Linked DNA regions of Canis lupus familiaris. The protein of the gene in region 1 purifies or fractionates together with the protein of each later gene. This does not show direct contact. Links are inferred from orthologs where the notes say so. Each region holds a gene or a part of one and is shown on either strand. Other genes may lie near its edges.

The links. Proteins that work in one complex are often made in the same cells at the same time.
Region 2: the proteins of PTPN21 (region 1) and TRIP6 purify together in Homo sapiens (affinity purification with mass spectrometry; 3 studies listed by BioGRID and IntAct, with this or other methods). This does not show direct contact. The link is inferred for Canis lupus familiaris from reciprocal best matches to the Homo sapiens genes PTPN21 and TRIP6.

Annotation. Positions count from the first base shown.
Region 1 is NC_049229.1:60,033,172-60,039,397, reverse strand, and holds the end of PTPN21 (tyrosine-protein phosphatase non-receptor type 21), read left to right. Parts: intron 1-855; coding exon 856-984; intron 985-1,172; coding exon 1,173-1,407; intron 1,408-1,791; coding exon 1,792-1,952; intron 1,953-2,170; coding exon 2,171-2,299; 3' UTR 2,300-4,607; downstream 4,608-6,226.
Region 2 is NC_049227.1:8,842,141-8,849,145, reverse strand, and holds TRIP6 (thyroid receptor-interacting protein 6), read left to right. Parts: upstream 1-2,545; 5' UTR 2,546-2,849; coding exon 2,850-2,958; intron 2,959-3,216; coding exon 3,217-3,344; intron 3,345-3,430; coding exon 3,431-3,556; intron 3,557-3,843; coding exon 3,844-4,221; intron 4,222-4,513; coding exon 4,514-4,607; intron 4,608-4,716; coding exon 4,717-4,886; intron 4,887-5,612; coding exon 5,613-5,791; intron 5,792-6,055; coding exon 6,056-6,176; intron 6,177-6,287; coding exon 6,288-6,419; 3' UTR 6,420-6,558; downstream 6,559-7,005. Other genes in the region: SLC12A9 (solute carrier family 12 member 9), read left to right, coding at 1,110-2,002. UniProt on the Homo sapiens protein: Relays signals from the cell surface to the nucleus to weaken adherens junction and promote actin cytoskeleton reorganization and cell invasiveness. Involved in lysophosphatidic acid-induced cell adhesion and migration.

The DNA of each region.
Region 1 (6,226 bases):
GGGGGGGGGGGGGCGGTGGGCTTTAACCCAATCTCCTGGCCGTAGATCCAGCAATGGCTCTGTTCCCTTAGACTGTCCTCAAGGGGATGCAGCCTCAGGTGGAAGCTTAGTGTCATTCTGGAGGGTGACCTTGACTTAGAAGTTCAGAGGGGAGACCACTTTCAGTAGGAGTATTTTTTTCTGCCCCAGAAATCTGGCATTTAACCTCGGTTTTGGCTGGATTGTTACTACTTTGCCTACTGTGTTTAGTACTTCATGAAGGGAAACTGTGTTTGAAATTTAGGATACTGTTATGGTGATACTGTTTTTCTAAGAAGAACCGTAACAGCAGCACTAACAACTGTGTATGGAAAACCTATTGATGTGCAAGCACCTTATACACTGACTAATTTAGTCCTGCCAACCACCCTATGAGGTACAGGACATTTTTATCTTACACATGTGAATAGAGAGAGAGGTTAAGCAAATTGCCCCAGGTCATGTAGATATGTGAATTTAGAGTCCATACATTTATAATCCGGTAGTAATAGGAATTGTATTAACAAGGAAAAAGAATAAGAGAAATCTTTATTCTGAATAACTCATTTTTTAGTACCACCATAAATGAATGTGCATACATGTATGCATATCTACATAAATACACATTGATTAATTTTTAAAGATTTATTTATTTAGAGAGAAAGAGGTTGAGAATCCTACGCAGACTCCCCACTGAGCTGCGTGCCCAGCATGGGGCTCAATCATACGACCCTAAGATTATGACCTGAGCTGAAATCTAGGGTCGGCTGCTTAATTAACTGAGCTACCTGGGCGCCCCACATATTAATTTCTTTAAAAAATCTTTTCTAATTTCAGGTCTCTGTCAGTGGAATTGAGTGGGATTATATTGCCACGCAGGGACCGTTACAGAATACCTGTCAGGATTTTTGGCAGATGGTGTGGGAACAGGGAGTGGCCATTATAGCAATGGTGACTGCAGAGGAGGTAAGGACTCATCTCTCTTCCTTGATTTGGTCAGCCTGAGAGGAGCAGTTAATGTTGGTCACGGGGAGTCCTGGCCTTGAAGGAAGAAGGCAGAGTGGGGTTGCAGTTCTGTGCTGCAGACACACTGCGTGATGGGGCCCCCGTGGCTGGATGCAGTGCTGCGTCCTGACCGTGCCTGCCTTTAACAGGAGGGTGGAAGGGAGAAGAGCTTCAGGTATTGGCCACGACTTGGTTCCCGTCACAACACCGTCACCTATGGGAGGTTTAAGATCACAACCCGGTTCCGCACGGACTCTGGCTGCTACGCCACCACAGGCCTGAAGATGAAGCACCTGCTCACGGGGCAGGAGAGGACAGTGTGGCATCTCCAGTACACAGACTGGCCTGAGCATGGCTGTCCAGAGGACCTCAAGGGATTTTTATGTAAGTATCTTCGTTCCCAGCACAATCTCTGCTTAAAGCATCCACATGGAGGAAGACTTAGGCTTTAGAGATATTTCCTTTATGTTATCTCACAGAAGCTTCGGGCTTGCTTTAAAATAAGGGCGTTAAGTGTTTAGAGGAGAGTGCTGGAACTGACTCCTAGAGACTGTCTCCTCCATTTCATTTTGTAGAGGGGCAGTTGGAAGTCGGGGCAGAGGCAGTGACTCGCCCACAGTCACACTGTCAGTGAGGGGTGGGAGGTGGTTAATTGGCACCCTACGCTCTCTATCTGGAGTCCTCCCCATCAGTGATGGTAATCTGGAAACTGTCAATTTGATGGGCCTTAATGCCTGTGTATTTTCCTGTTTCATTGATACTTCACAGCATACCTTGAAGAGATCCAGTCTGTTCGACGCCATACGAATAGTACCAGTGAGCCAAGAAGCCCCAACCCTCCGTTGCTGGTCCATTGCAGTGCTGGTGTGGGAAGGACTGGCGTCGTCATCTTGTCAGAGGTCATGATCGCCTGTCTGGAACACAATGAGGTAGCTATGTCCTTTCGTCAGGGCGGAGGAGTGGGCGGGCCCAGGGCTGGGGCACAAAGGACCTAGAGGCCTACCAGTTTTTTCTAAACAAGTTCCCCGGAGGCTTCTTCTAGAAGACGCTGAGGGAGAAAGTGTCCATTTCTTGACCAGATTACTGCCCGTACTCCTCCCCTCTCCGTGGGGGTCAGCACCCCCCTCATCGCTGTCTCTCCCTCCAGGTGCTGGACATCCCAAGGGTGCTTGACATGCTGAGGCAACAGAGGATGATGATGGTGCAGACCCTCTGCCAGTACACATTCGTGTACCGAGTCCTCATTCAGTTCCTGAAAAGCTCCAGGCTCATCTGAACTCCCACAGCTTGTTATGGGGACCCAATCTTGTGAAGCGTTTACAGCTGAAAACAAGTGCTCGCCTAACTCGTCCTTCCTCACCGGATACCCGAGAGGCAGCGCGCTGCCTGGGCCTGAAGGACGGCCCCATGAAGGCAGCGTGTGGAGGGGGCCAGGCCGGGCGTCTGAGCCTGGGAAAGATGCTGAGGAGAAGGACTTGGTCCCGAGGGCCCAGCCCCACTCCCATCTGTCCGACTTGCAGCACTTGCACACTTTGTGGAGGTTGTTTTCTAGACAATTCTCTGTGGTACTGAAGCTGTGCCGGGCAACTCTGGCAATCAGTGAGGCGCATAGATTTCTATCTTTGTTAATGGAATTTTATTTTATAACTAAAGTATTTGGGGTTTTCTTGTTGAGAAACTGAACTTTTCTGCGGGGATGGTCCACAGGTGTGATTGGTTCCTCTAGAAGTTTGTATTTAAAACCGTTACTATCTCTTGTTATTTTTTAAATAAAACCTTAACAGTTTAGCTACCAAACCTAAAACTACAAGAAGAATCTAAAAGTGTTATTTTGAAACAGAAGGCATTTTTATATTAAGAAAATTTTTTATCCTGAAATACTCTATATTTGTACCTTCTATATTTTCCAAACAAGAGTTCAACTCATTAAGGTACTGAAATAAATCATTTACTGTAAGAGAAAGTTGGGAACGAAGGCACATTGTCGAAAATGTAAGACAATAATCAGATTCACTCCTTTTTTCAGTATTATTTGTAAACCTAAGCGAGTTTGATTTTATTGGTTGAAAATGAAGTGAAAACCAATTGCATAGGTGGTTTTAAGCACTTTGTTGTTAAAGACAAATCTGAGTTTTGATGTATGTATTGCTTGATAGATGAAACAGTAACAGCGAATTTTGTTCAGAAGAAGTGCTCTGGAAGAGATAAGGAGTAAGCAAGCGTATGTCGGATGTCAGGGCAAGAGGAAGTGTAGCGGAAATGCGCGAGGGCCAGCGTGCGATGCCTGTGACAGAAGTACAGTATTAACCACACTCCGAGAGGCTGGGGTGGTGGCTGAGCCCCCACCTGGTAGGTCCCCCCCCCCCGGAGTTCAAGGGCCGTCACTGTCTGCGACTCACTCTTTCCTTGGAGTTCTTGTACCTAAACTGTCCTTTTTAAATTAAGTCAGGTTTATAGTCTCGTTAAAAGGAGCCTTGAAGAGGCTTTATTTTCTTCTGATTGAAAGAAGGGAAGAGTTGGTAATAGTTTCACCTCATTTCCCAAAACTTCAGCCCCAACTTGTGAGGCCACCAGAGATTGCTGTGCTTTTTGAGAGATGCTGGGGTTTTAGTGCTCGAAGCCCCTACCTTCACCCCGGAGGTCAGTGGGTCAGTGTCAGCTTCTGGGTTCCTCCCCCGGCCCCCCCAGCCCTGTCGCATCCCAATGGCAGAACCCAGCTGAGTTGGGGGGGGGGGGTGTTGCCTTCGGTGCCGGCTAGAAAGGCCTTGCTAAGAGGCCCTCACGGAGGGACTAACGGTCCAGTAACGCTGAGGCGCCATCTTGTTTTTCCTTCTGAGGCTGCTTCTCTGAAATGCGGAGCTTCCAGGGCTCTTCCCCTCATTTCAATATCCTAGGGATGGTTCTGAGTCCCACGTTCGCTCCTATAGCAGTTTAACCCACTGTAGTAACCACTGAGTGTGTGTTTCAGCTGTGAGGCAGGGCTTGCTGCCTACAGGGTCTGCGTATCTCCGGGGTGCCCCGAAACCAACCCCCTGAGGAGAACTCAGAAGATACTAATGACAGTGAGTAGTGGAAGTGGGCACATTGCTCACTTAGGGACAAAATGTTCATTTTAAACCTGAAATTGTTTTAAGACGTCCTGTGTAAGCAACAGTAGACCCAAGTGCAAATACTGAGAGAGGGCTCCCAAAAGAATGGAATAAGAGTTTTATGGTCGTGTTTCCCATCTCCACACATCATGTAAAGGACAGGAATGTTGCTTCTTTTTCTCCTGTGGTATGTTTTTTTAAAAATGCTTTTCTGCAGGTTTAAACATTTTCAAGTGTCCCATTGATAAGAACATACTGTAATGTAAAACAAAGACCTAAAGAGTAATATATGGTATATTTGTGTTCGGTTGTAATAATTATAAGTAAATTACTTCTGAGGGCTAAATTACACTGTTTTAAAGGTCACTCTTAAAATGTCGCATGTTTGACTAGCTTCTAAGACTCATGTAATTTCTTATCCCTTTTGAATATTTAAACTTTTTTTCAGTTAGTATGATATGAAAGTATTTCTGAATAAAAATCGGCATTACTGGACTTTGAAGTAATGTGATTTTCAGGAGCAAACTACAACACTGAGGCTCCGTCGGTTTACCACATCTGATGTCGTCTGCCAAACTTACACAATGTCAGTGTCTTTTAGTTCCTCGAGATTCTAAATTTCAGAGCAAAATGACCTAATGTACATTTTCACAAAAAGTAGGTTATAAACCAGTGTTTTCCAGCGGGTTGATTTTGGCATCTCTGGCATCAGTCTTCCTCATTGGTGGGGTCTTTTGATGAAATATTCTAGCTGAGAGTTTTAAGCACAGAAAGTGTTCATTTGGAATGTAAATTTCAGTGATGATTAACTACTTTCCTCTGGAACACCCACTATGAAGTATTCTGAAAACTCCAGTATTTAGCCTTTAAAACCCTTTGGCAGAATTGAAACAGAAGGTGGATGGACCTGTGCTTCCAGAAGCTTCCAGAAAGAGCAAGGTCTGGGCAGGAACACAGAGGAGGGTGTCAGGGTGTAGGACCAACTTTTTGTGAAGCTTCTGTTAGCAGAAACAAATAGCTCCTTCAGGTGAGTTGATTACGTTAATATTCACAACATTAAGAAAACATTGTATATATTATAGATACAATATAAAACGTGTCTTAAAGTATACAGCTGGACATCAGCTGCCCCTTAGAACGGGTTTGAGATTTTCATGAACAAATGGAAACAAAGGTTACTGTTTATTGTAAATCGTTTTTAAATCACTTTTTTAAAGTTTTAATTTATTTATTCATTTTAAGCAATCTCTGCCCCCCAACATAGGGCTCGGACTCATGACTCCTGAGATCAAGAGTTACATGCTCCTCTGACTGAGCCAGTCAGATGCCCCCAAACCAGACTTTTTGAAGGAATTCTTTAGGATATAAATTTAGGGAACTTGTTTCCCATCAAGATTTCATCTAGAACAAGCCAAAACTATCTTTTTCCAGCTTAAAGTTTATTAGAAAAAAATCAATTAGAGGGGGCTTTTTTTTTTTTTTTTTTTTTAAGATTTATTTATTCATGATAGAGAAAGAGAGGCAGAGACACAGGAGGAGGGAGAAGCAGGCTCCATGCTGCCGGGAGCCCGACGTGGGGCTCGATCCCAGGACTCCAGGATCGCACCCTGGGCCAAAGGCAGGAGCTAAACCGCTGAGCCACTCAGGGATCCCCTGGCGGGGGGCTCTTTATTGAGGTGAGGTGGGGGGGAGAGAGGGAGAGAGAGAGAGAGAGGGACATTCCAAAAATAGAGGAATAGGTACTGTAGGAATTTGCCTGAAAAAACCATTTCTCAAAAGAACACGAGTTTTTCAAATTCCTCTAGATAAGGAATCCATGCCAGTATCTACAATTATAGAAAAATAAGGACAAATCAGAAAGTCCAGTTGTTTCAAGTCTGCATGTGTTGGGGATGATGAGTGGCTACAGGATTTTAGGCAACAAAGGGGTTCTTGGAGGGTTCAAGTGACATCGTTTTCTCTATGTTAACAGACGCTTCCCAAATAAAGATGATGATGCTCCAAAAGTTCAGGTGTATGTGTGTGGAATTACTGAGAAAAATAGTCATGTTTCCCTTGTGAACAGCATCCCAAATGGGTAACTTTCCTGGTTTGTCTTCCCAAAGCTAGTTCAA
Region 2 (7,005 bases), on another chromosome or scaffold:
CTGTTAAAGTGAGCCTGGGGGGCCAGTTATCCAATTTCACAATCAAAAATTTAAAAACCAGGGATCCCTGGGTGGCGCAGCGGTTTGGCGCCTGCCTTTGGCCCAGGGCGCGATCCTGGAGACCCGGGATCGAATCCCACGTCGGGCTCCCGGTGCATGGAGCCTGCTTCTCCCTCTGCCTATGTCTCTGCCTCTCTCTCTCTCTCTCTCTGTGACTATCATAAATAAATAAAAATTAAAAAAAAAAATTTAAAAACCAGGAGCTGTCAGCAGGGACTTGGGGCACTGTGTTTGCTACACACACACACACACACAGGTTCAGAGGCTCAGAGAATGGGCTCTGGTGATGGGCACACTGTGTATACCTGTGGATCCCAGTATCTACCAGCTATGAGCCTTGGGGCAAGTGACTTCACTGCTTTGTGCTTCAGGTTGCTCATCCGTGAAAGGGGTGAGTAAAGAGTGTCTACCTCACAGTGTTGCTTTAAGGATCAGATGAGTTAAAACACAGTGCTTTCAGCAGGACCTAGCTCTTGGTTAGTGTGCAGACCGTAGCTGTTTCTTCCCCAGGGACCATGCTTTGGACCCGCCATCATTAGGGCCCTGCAGTGGTAAGAACAGACCAGGCCAGTTCTCATCCTCCCCCCAGCGGAGTCTGGGGTGCTGTTTCCCTGGGGGATGAGGCCACAAGCTTGACTATTGCTTGCTCAGGGGGTCTGGTCTACCAGTGGAGTCAGACCCTCATCTCCCATCATGAAAAAGAAAGGTGTGCTGCGAGAAGCTTGGGGTGGAGGCATCCTACTGCCATGGTCCAGAAGTGCTCATTAGTTAAGAAGAATTGCTCCTAAGGCAAACTTTGCGTTACGTTTAAGTGGGGGAACATTAGTCATGCAGTTACAACAAATAAAAGTATACAAAAGCATTAAGGAAAACTAAAAGTCATTATGCAAACGTGCAGCCTGGAGAGCCCAAGCACTGTACAAATGCCATACCTGATGGCTGACGTGTGTCGCTGTCAGCGTGTGCAAGTGGGTGCGTATTCGCGTGGTGTAAACTCAGCCTGTGAGTCTGATTCCTGTCTCTTCCCACCTCCCCCTCTCTGCTCCCAGGTGGCATGAAGCCCAACACTTTGGTCCTAGGTTTCTATGATGATGCTGCACCCCAGGACCACTTCCTGACAGACCCGGCTTTCTCCGAGGCTACTGATGGCACCCAGGAGGGTGGGTCCCCAGCCCTGAGCACTCTGTTTCCTCCACCCCGGGCTCCTGGGAGCCCCCGGGCTCTCAGCCCCCAGGACTATGTGGCCACAGTGGCAGACGCCCTCAAGATGAACAAGAATGTGGTTCTGGCCCGGGCCTGTGGGGCCCTGCCCCCGGAGCGGCTGAGCCGGGGTTCAGGGGGTACCTCTCAGCCACATCACGTGGATGTGTGGCCTCTCAACCTGCTGCGGCCCCGGGGTGGGCCTGGCTACGTGGATGTGTGTGGCCTTTTCCTGCTGCAGATGGCAACCATCTTGGGCATGGTGCCTGCTTGGCATAGCGCCCGGCTCCGGATCTTCTTGTGCCTGGGGCCTCGAGAGGCCCCCGGGGCGGCTGAGGGGCGGCTCCGGGCACTGCTGAGCCAGCTGAGGATCAGAGCCGAAGTACAGGAGGTGGTGTGGGGTGAGGGGGCTGGGGCTGGGGAGCCGGAGGAGGAGGAGGAGGAAGGAGACTTTGTGAATGGCAGGCGGGGAGATGCTGAGGCAGAGGCCCTGGCATGCAGTGCTAACGCCCTGGTTCGGGCCCAGCAGGGGCGCGGCAGAGGAGGCGGGCCCGGTGGGCCTGAGGGTGCGGATGGCGAAGGTGGGCCTGCCACAGCCCTCACTTTCCTATACCTGCCTCGGCCGCCCGCCGATCCTGCCTGCTACACTCGCTACCTGGCGCTCCTGGAGACTCTGACCCATGATCTGGGCCCCACGCTACTCATTCACGGAGTCACCCCAGTCACTTGCACTGATCTCTGATGCCCGGGGCCTGGAGCAGAGGGTGCCCAGGTCCGGTGACCTGCTTTGATCAGTGGATGCAGAAGGGAAGGGCAGCCTCCCGCCTGCTCCACGTGTGGGGTGTGGAGCCCTGTGGAAGTACTAGGGGATCCTGGGCTGGGGCACCCCTCTGTCCCTGTGAGAGGGGCTTTAGTGCACTAATGCAGGGCAGCTGTGTCCCCACCACGCTGGGGGAGAAAGGCAGCAGCCCTCCCCACTGGCCTCCCTTCCTTCACTGGTGCCTTGATGGAGGCTGGGTCTCTGCTTTGACTCTCGGCTACCTCAGTCTCCCCTTGCCCAACAGACTCGCAGACCCCTGAGGTTGTGATGTTTTTGTTCTGTTTTATTTTTCTAACCGCTGAACGTGAATAAAAGACCAAAACACTATGGGCTGGCCTGGCTGAGCACTGCTAGGGGCGGTAGGTGGGGCGGGAAGAGAGAGATCTGGTTGGGGGAGTGTGGGAAAGAGCCGCGCTGGAGCGCGTCCCAGCGGCGAGGTGGCCACGTGCGGGACTTGGGGCGCCAGTCTGGGGGAACGAGTGAAACGGAGGCAGCCTTGGAAAGCTCTCCCTGCTCGGCGGGAGGGGGCCGACTGGGGGAGGGACGGCAGTTTAGGGCCTAGGGGGCCACGTGACCCTCCCCCAGGAATGTGGTGACGTCACCGGGGGCGTGGCTGTCCCCAAAATTGGGGAGGAAGGGGAAAAAAAAGGCCAGAAAAAGTTTCTTTCCTGGAGTTCCAAACGAGGTGTGGGACAGAAGAAGGGGCCAAGACCAGAGTCTTGGGGCTACGTGGGGCCTGACCGCTGTCTAGAGTCTCCTGATCCCGGCCATGTCGGGGCCCACCTGGCTCCCCCCAAGGCAGCTGGAGCCTGCAAGAGCCCCTCAGGGGAGAGCACTCCCCCGAGGTGCCCCGGGGCCGCCGCCAGCCCATGGAGCAGGTAAGGCAGCCCCAGTGCCGCCAAGGAGGCCACTGGCCATTCTGAGCTCACCTTCGCCTTCTGGTTCCTGCCTCCTGCCCCTGGCTTGTCCCTGCCACCCCTTCCCTGAAGCCCTTCCGGCTTCCTGCTCCTGCTCTGTTCTGGGACTCCAAGTGTGGGGGGGGAGGGGAGAAGAGTGACCCATGAGGGCGGCCTCCATAAGTGTCACCCTCCCCTCCTTCCCCATCCCCACCTTGGCTCTCTTTTCCCTCACCCTAGCACATCAGCCCCACCCCAGGGTCAATTTTTGCCCCCTCCCATCTGAGCAGTGTTACCAGGCCCCCGGGGGACCAGATGATCGGGGGTTCCCCTGGGTGGGGTGCCATGGAGCACCCCAGCGCTCACAGGTGAGAATTGGAATTGGGAGTGGGTGGGAGGTGGGGGCACCCGGGGCAAGTGACTTGAATTCTCCCTGCTTTTTCTTCATCTCCAGGGGCTCCCCCCAGACAGGGGGGCCTTGCGTCCAGGAAGTCTGGATGCCGAGATAGATTCGCTGACCAGCATGCTGGCTGAGTTGGATGGAGGTCGTGGTCATGCCCCACGGCGGTCAGACCGGCAGGTGACTTCCCTGTCCCACCCCTGTTCCTTGTCTCCTGCCCTCTTCCACACTCCCCATCCTGGTCCTTTCCCTAGATTCTCAACCTGGTACCCTTCACCCTTGCCCCCATGTGTGATACATGCAGGAGTATCACATCTTACTAGATTGTCAGCCTCTTGAGTGCTTGTCAAAGACCAGCACTACCTTGGGGACACACACACACACACACACACACACACACACGTGGGAGGGCCCACAAGTGTGTGTCCTGGAATGGGCCTTCTCACTCCTGGTCTGTTTCTCCCCAGGCTTATGAGCCCCCTCAGCCCCATGCCTACCGCACAGGCTCAGGCTCCCTGAAGCCGAATGGAGGGGGTGTTCCTATTCCTCCCCAACAGCTCTCAGCGTCTCCCTATGGGGGCCCCACTCCAGCCTCCTATGCTACAGCCAGCACCCCCGCTGGCCCTGCCTTCCCTGTGCAAGTGAAGGTGGCACAACCAGTGAGAGGCTGTGGCCCTCCCAGGCGGGGGGCCTCTCAGGCCTCCGGGGCCCTCCCGGGCCCTCACTTTCCTCTCCCAGGCCAAGGTGAAGTCTGGGGGGCTGGCTATAGGAGCCACCATGAGCCAGGGCCAGGGGTTAAAGAGGAGGCTGCAGGAGGAGGAAGAGGAGGCGCGTATGGGCCCCAGGTAAGCCCTAAGTATTGGGATGTGGGGTCCTCATGGACAACTGGACACTGATTGGGTGGGGTGGGGAGTCCTGGGGTGTTGGAGTTCTGGGTCCCAGGGATGTGGCGCTGGTCAGGAAATAGAAGAGGGAGGTGCTGGAGCTGTACACTGGCTCCTGGAGGTGCACCCCTGGGCCCCGGGCTGAGACCTCGTCAGATGAGCTTTCTGCTTGGAACTGCCTGGTCCCCTTCAGGAAAGTCTGACAGCATAGGGAGCTGGAGGTAGGGCTGAACCCCTGACTCCCCCCTTTCAGGTCCCCCTGAACCAGCCTCCTGAGGAAGAGCTTGAGAGGCTGACGAAGAAACTGGTGCATGACATGAACCATCCTCCCACCGGGGAGTACTTTGGTGAGCTGACCTGAGGTGGGAAGGGGGGCAGGGGACTGGGGAGTCAAGGGGACAGCGAATCCACCTTCCATTCTGCATGCTTATTGACCCTGTCCCTCCCTGTCCCCAGGGCGGTGCGGCGGCTGTGGGGAAGATGTGGTTGGGGATGGGGCTGGCGTTGTGGCCCTGGACCGGGTCTTTCACGTTGGCTGCTTCGTGTGCTCTACATGCCGGGCCCAGCTTCGGGGCCAACATTTCTATGCTGTGGAGAGGAGGGCGTACTGTGAGAGCTGCTATGTGGTGAGTGGGTGTGCTGGGGGTGGCCTGGGTGCTGGAGTCTGTAGCAGGAGGCAGGAGGCTTCCATCTAAGGTAGCAGGAGGCAGGAGGCTTCCATCTAAGGTGGAAACTAGATGTCTAAGCACATGAGAGGGACAGAATTCAAAGGTGGGGGATGCCTGGGTGGCCCAGTGGTTGAGCATCTGCTTTCGGCTCAGGTGGTGATCCTGGAGCCCTGGATTGAGTCCCGTATTGGGTTCCCCCCAGGGAGCCTGCTTCTCCCTCTGCCTATGTCTCTACTTCTCTCTCCGTGTCTCTCATGAATAAATAAATAAAGTCTTAAAGGAAAAAAGAACTCCAAGCTGGGGGACTAAACTGATGTGTAAGAAGGAAGGAATTGGGAAAGTAGTGAAATTACTGGCTGCTGGAGGGAAAGGACAATAGTTCCTTACAAATGTGAGAGGAGGAGGAAGAAGAGGAGGAGACCAGACTTATCTTGAGTTAAGGGAATATGTTAAATTTCCACACTGCTGCCCCTGTGAAGCAGCTGATACTACTGTAGGAAACGGAAGTTGAGACTGGATCACTTCTGTAGGAAGCTACAGTGCTGGGACTTAGATCTGTTCAGGGCCACTTTTCACTGAATCCCTTGCAGGCTATAAAAACAGGTGGGTAGGCCAGCAGGGTGCCTGCCAGCCACCGGACCTCCTCAGCCCTGAACTTGCCACCCTTCCTTTCTAATTCGCTAGGCCACCCTGGAGAAGTGCTCCACATGCTCCCAACCCATCCTGGACCGGATCCTGCGGGCCATGGGGAAAGCCTACCACCCTAGCTGCTTTACCTGTGTGGTGTGCCACCGTGGCCTCGACGGCATCCCTTTCACAGTGGATGCCACCAGCCAGATCCACTGCATTGAGGACTTCCACAGGTCAGACTGGGTCTCCCATCTTTCTCGAGACATCTGACCTTCCCCATCTTCTTCATTTCTCCTTTATGTCCCAGTACCAGCTTCTCCAGTTTCCTACCCCGGACTTTGTCTTTCTTGTTACCGTCACTCTCTCTTGTGAGAGCCAAGACCATCCATCCCTCTGGCCTCTCCCGTACCCTTGCATAGCCCACCTTCTCTGGGCTGCACTGTTAGTCCCCTCCAACCCAGGGGCTTGACAGCCTCCGTTGTTCCCTTCCACCCCAGGAAGTTTGCCCCACGGTGCTCAGTGTGTGGTGGGGCCATCATGCCTGAGCCAGGGCAGGAGGAGACGGTACGAATCGTTGCTCTGGATCGCAGTTTTCACATTGGCTGTTACAAGTGCGAGGTCAGGGGGCCCCGGCAAGGGGAATGGGAGATTCTTGGGGTCTGGGGTGCTGGGAATGGTAGAACCCAGGGCTCTGGCCCTGATAGAAAGCTCTTGCTTCTGTCTTAACAGGAGTGTGGGCTGCTCCTCTCCTCCGAGGGCGAGTGTCAGGGCTGCTACCCGCTGGATGGGCACATCTTGTGCAAGGCGTGCAGTGCCTGGCGCATCCAGGAGCTCTCAGCCACTGTCACGACCGACTGCTGAGCCTTCCCAGAACCACCTGTTACGTTTTCCCTTCCCATCAACTACCCTCCCTGACATCTATCCTGACAACTGTGTCACCAAGTACTGTCTCTTCTTCCTCCAATCATGAAATAATAATCCCTCAAGAGTTTACAAAACACTTAAGTGTATTGTCTCATCTGATTCTCACAGCAGCCTAATGCAAACACATTTGTGGTGACTGCGTTTTTACAGAAGCGATCTCAGGTTGCATGGTTTCCTAATGCAGTACCAAGATCAGAACCCGGGTCTCCCTAGACCTAGATTTTTGCAACTCCATTCTACACTCTTGCAAACGTGGTGTAAAGACACCCTTCCTCTCCGTGCTTGGAGTGAGGCTGCAGCATACTCCAAGGAGGCGGCCTTCCCTGTTCTTCAGCCTGGACACTCCACTCCCTGATCAAGGACTTGGTGTTCTCTCCGGGGGTGGTGGTGCGTTTTCTCTGGCGCAAGCCGGTCTCCGCCTGTTGATCAAGACCTCAACCTATAAGCTATCCCAACCAACTACTGGTTGGGGATAAGACAGACCTGCCGCCTTCGCCTCTTACGAAGAACAGCAGTAACAGGG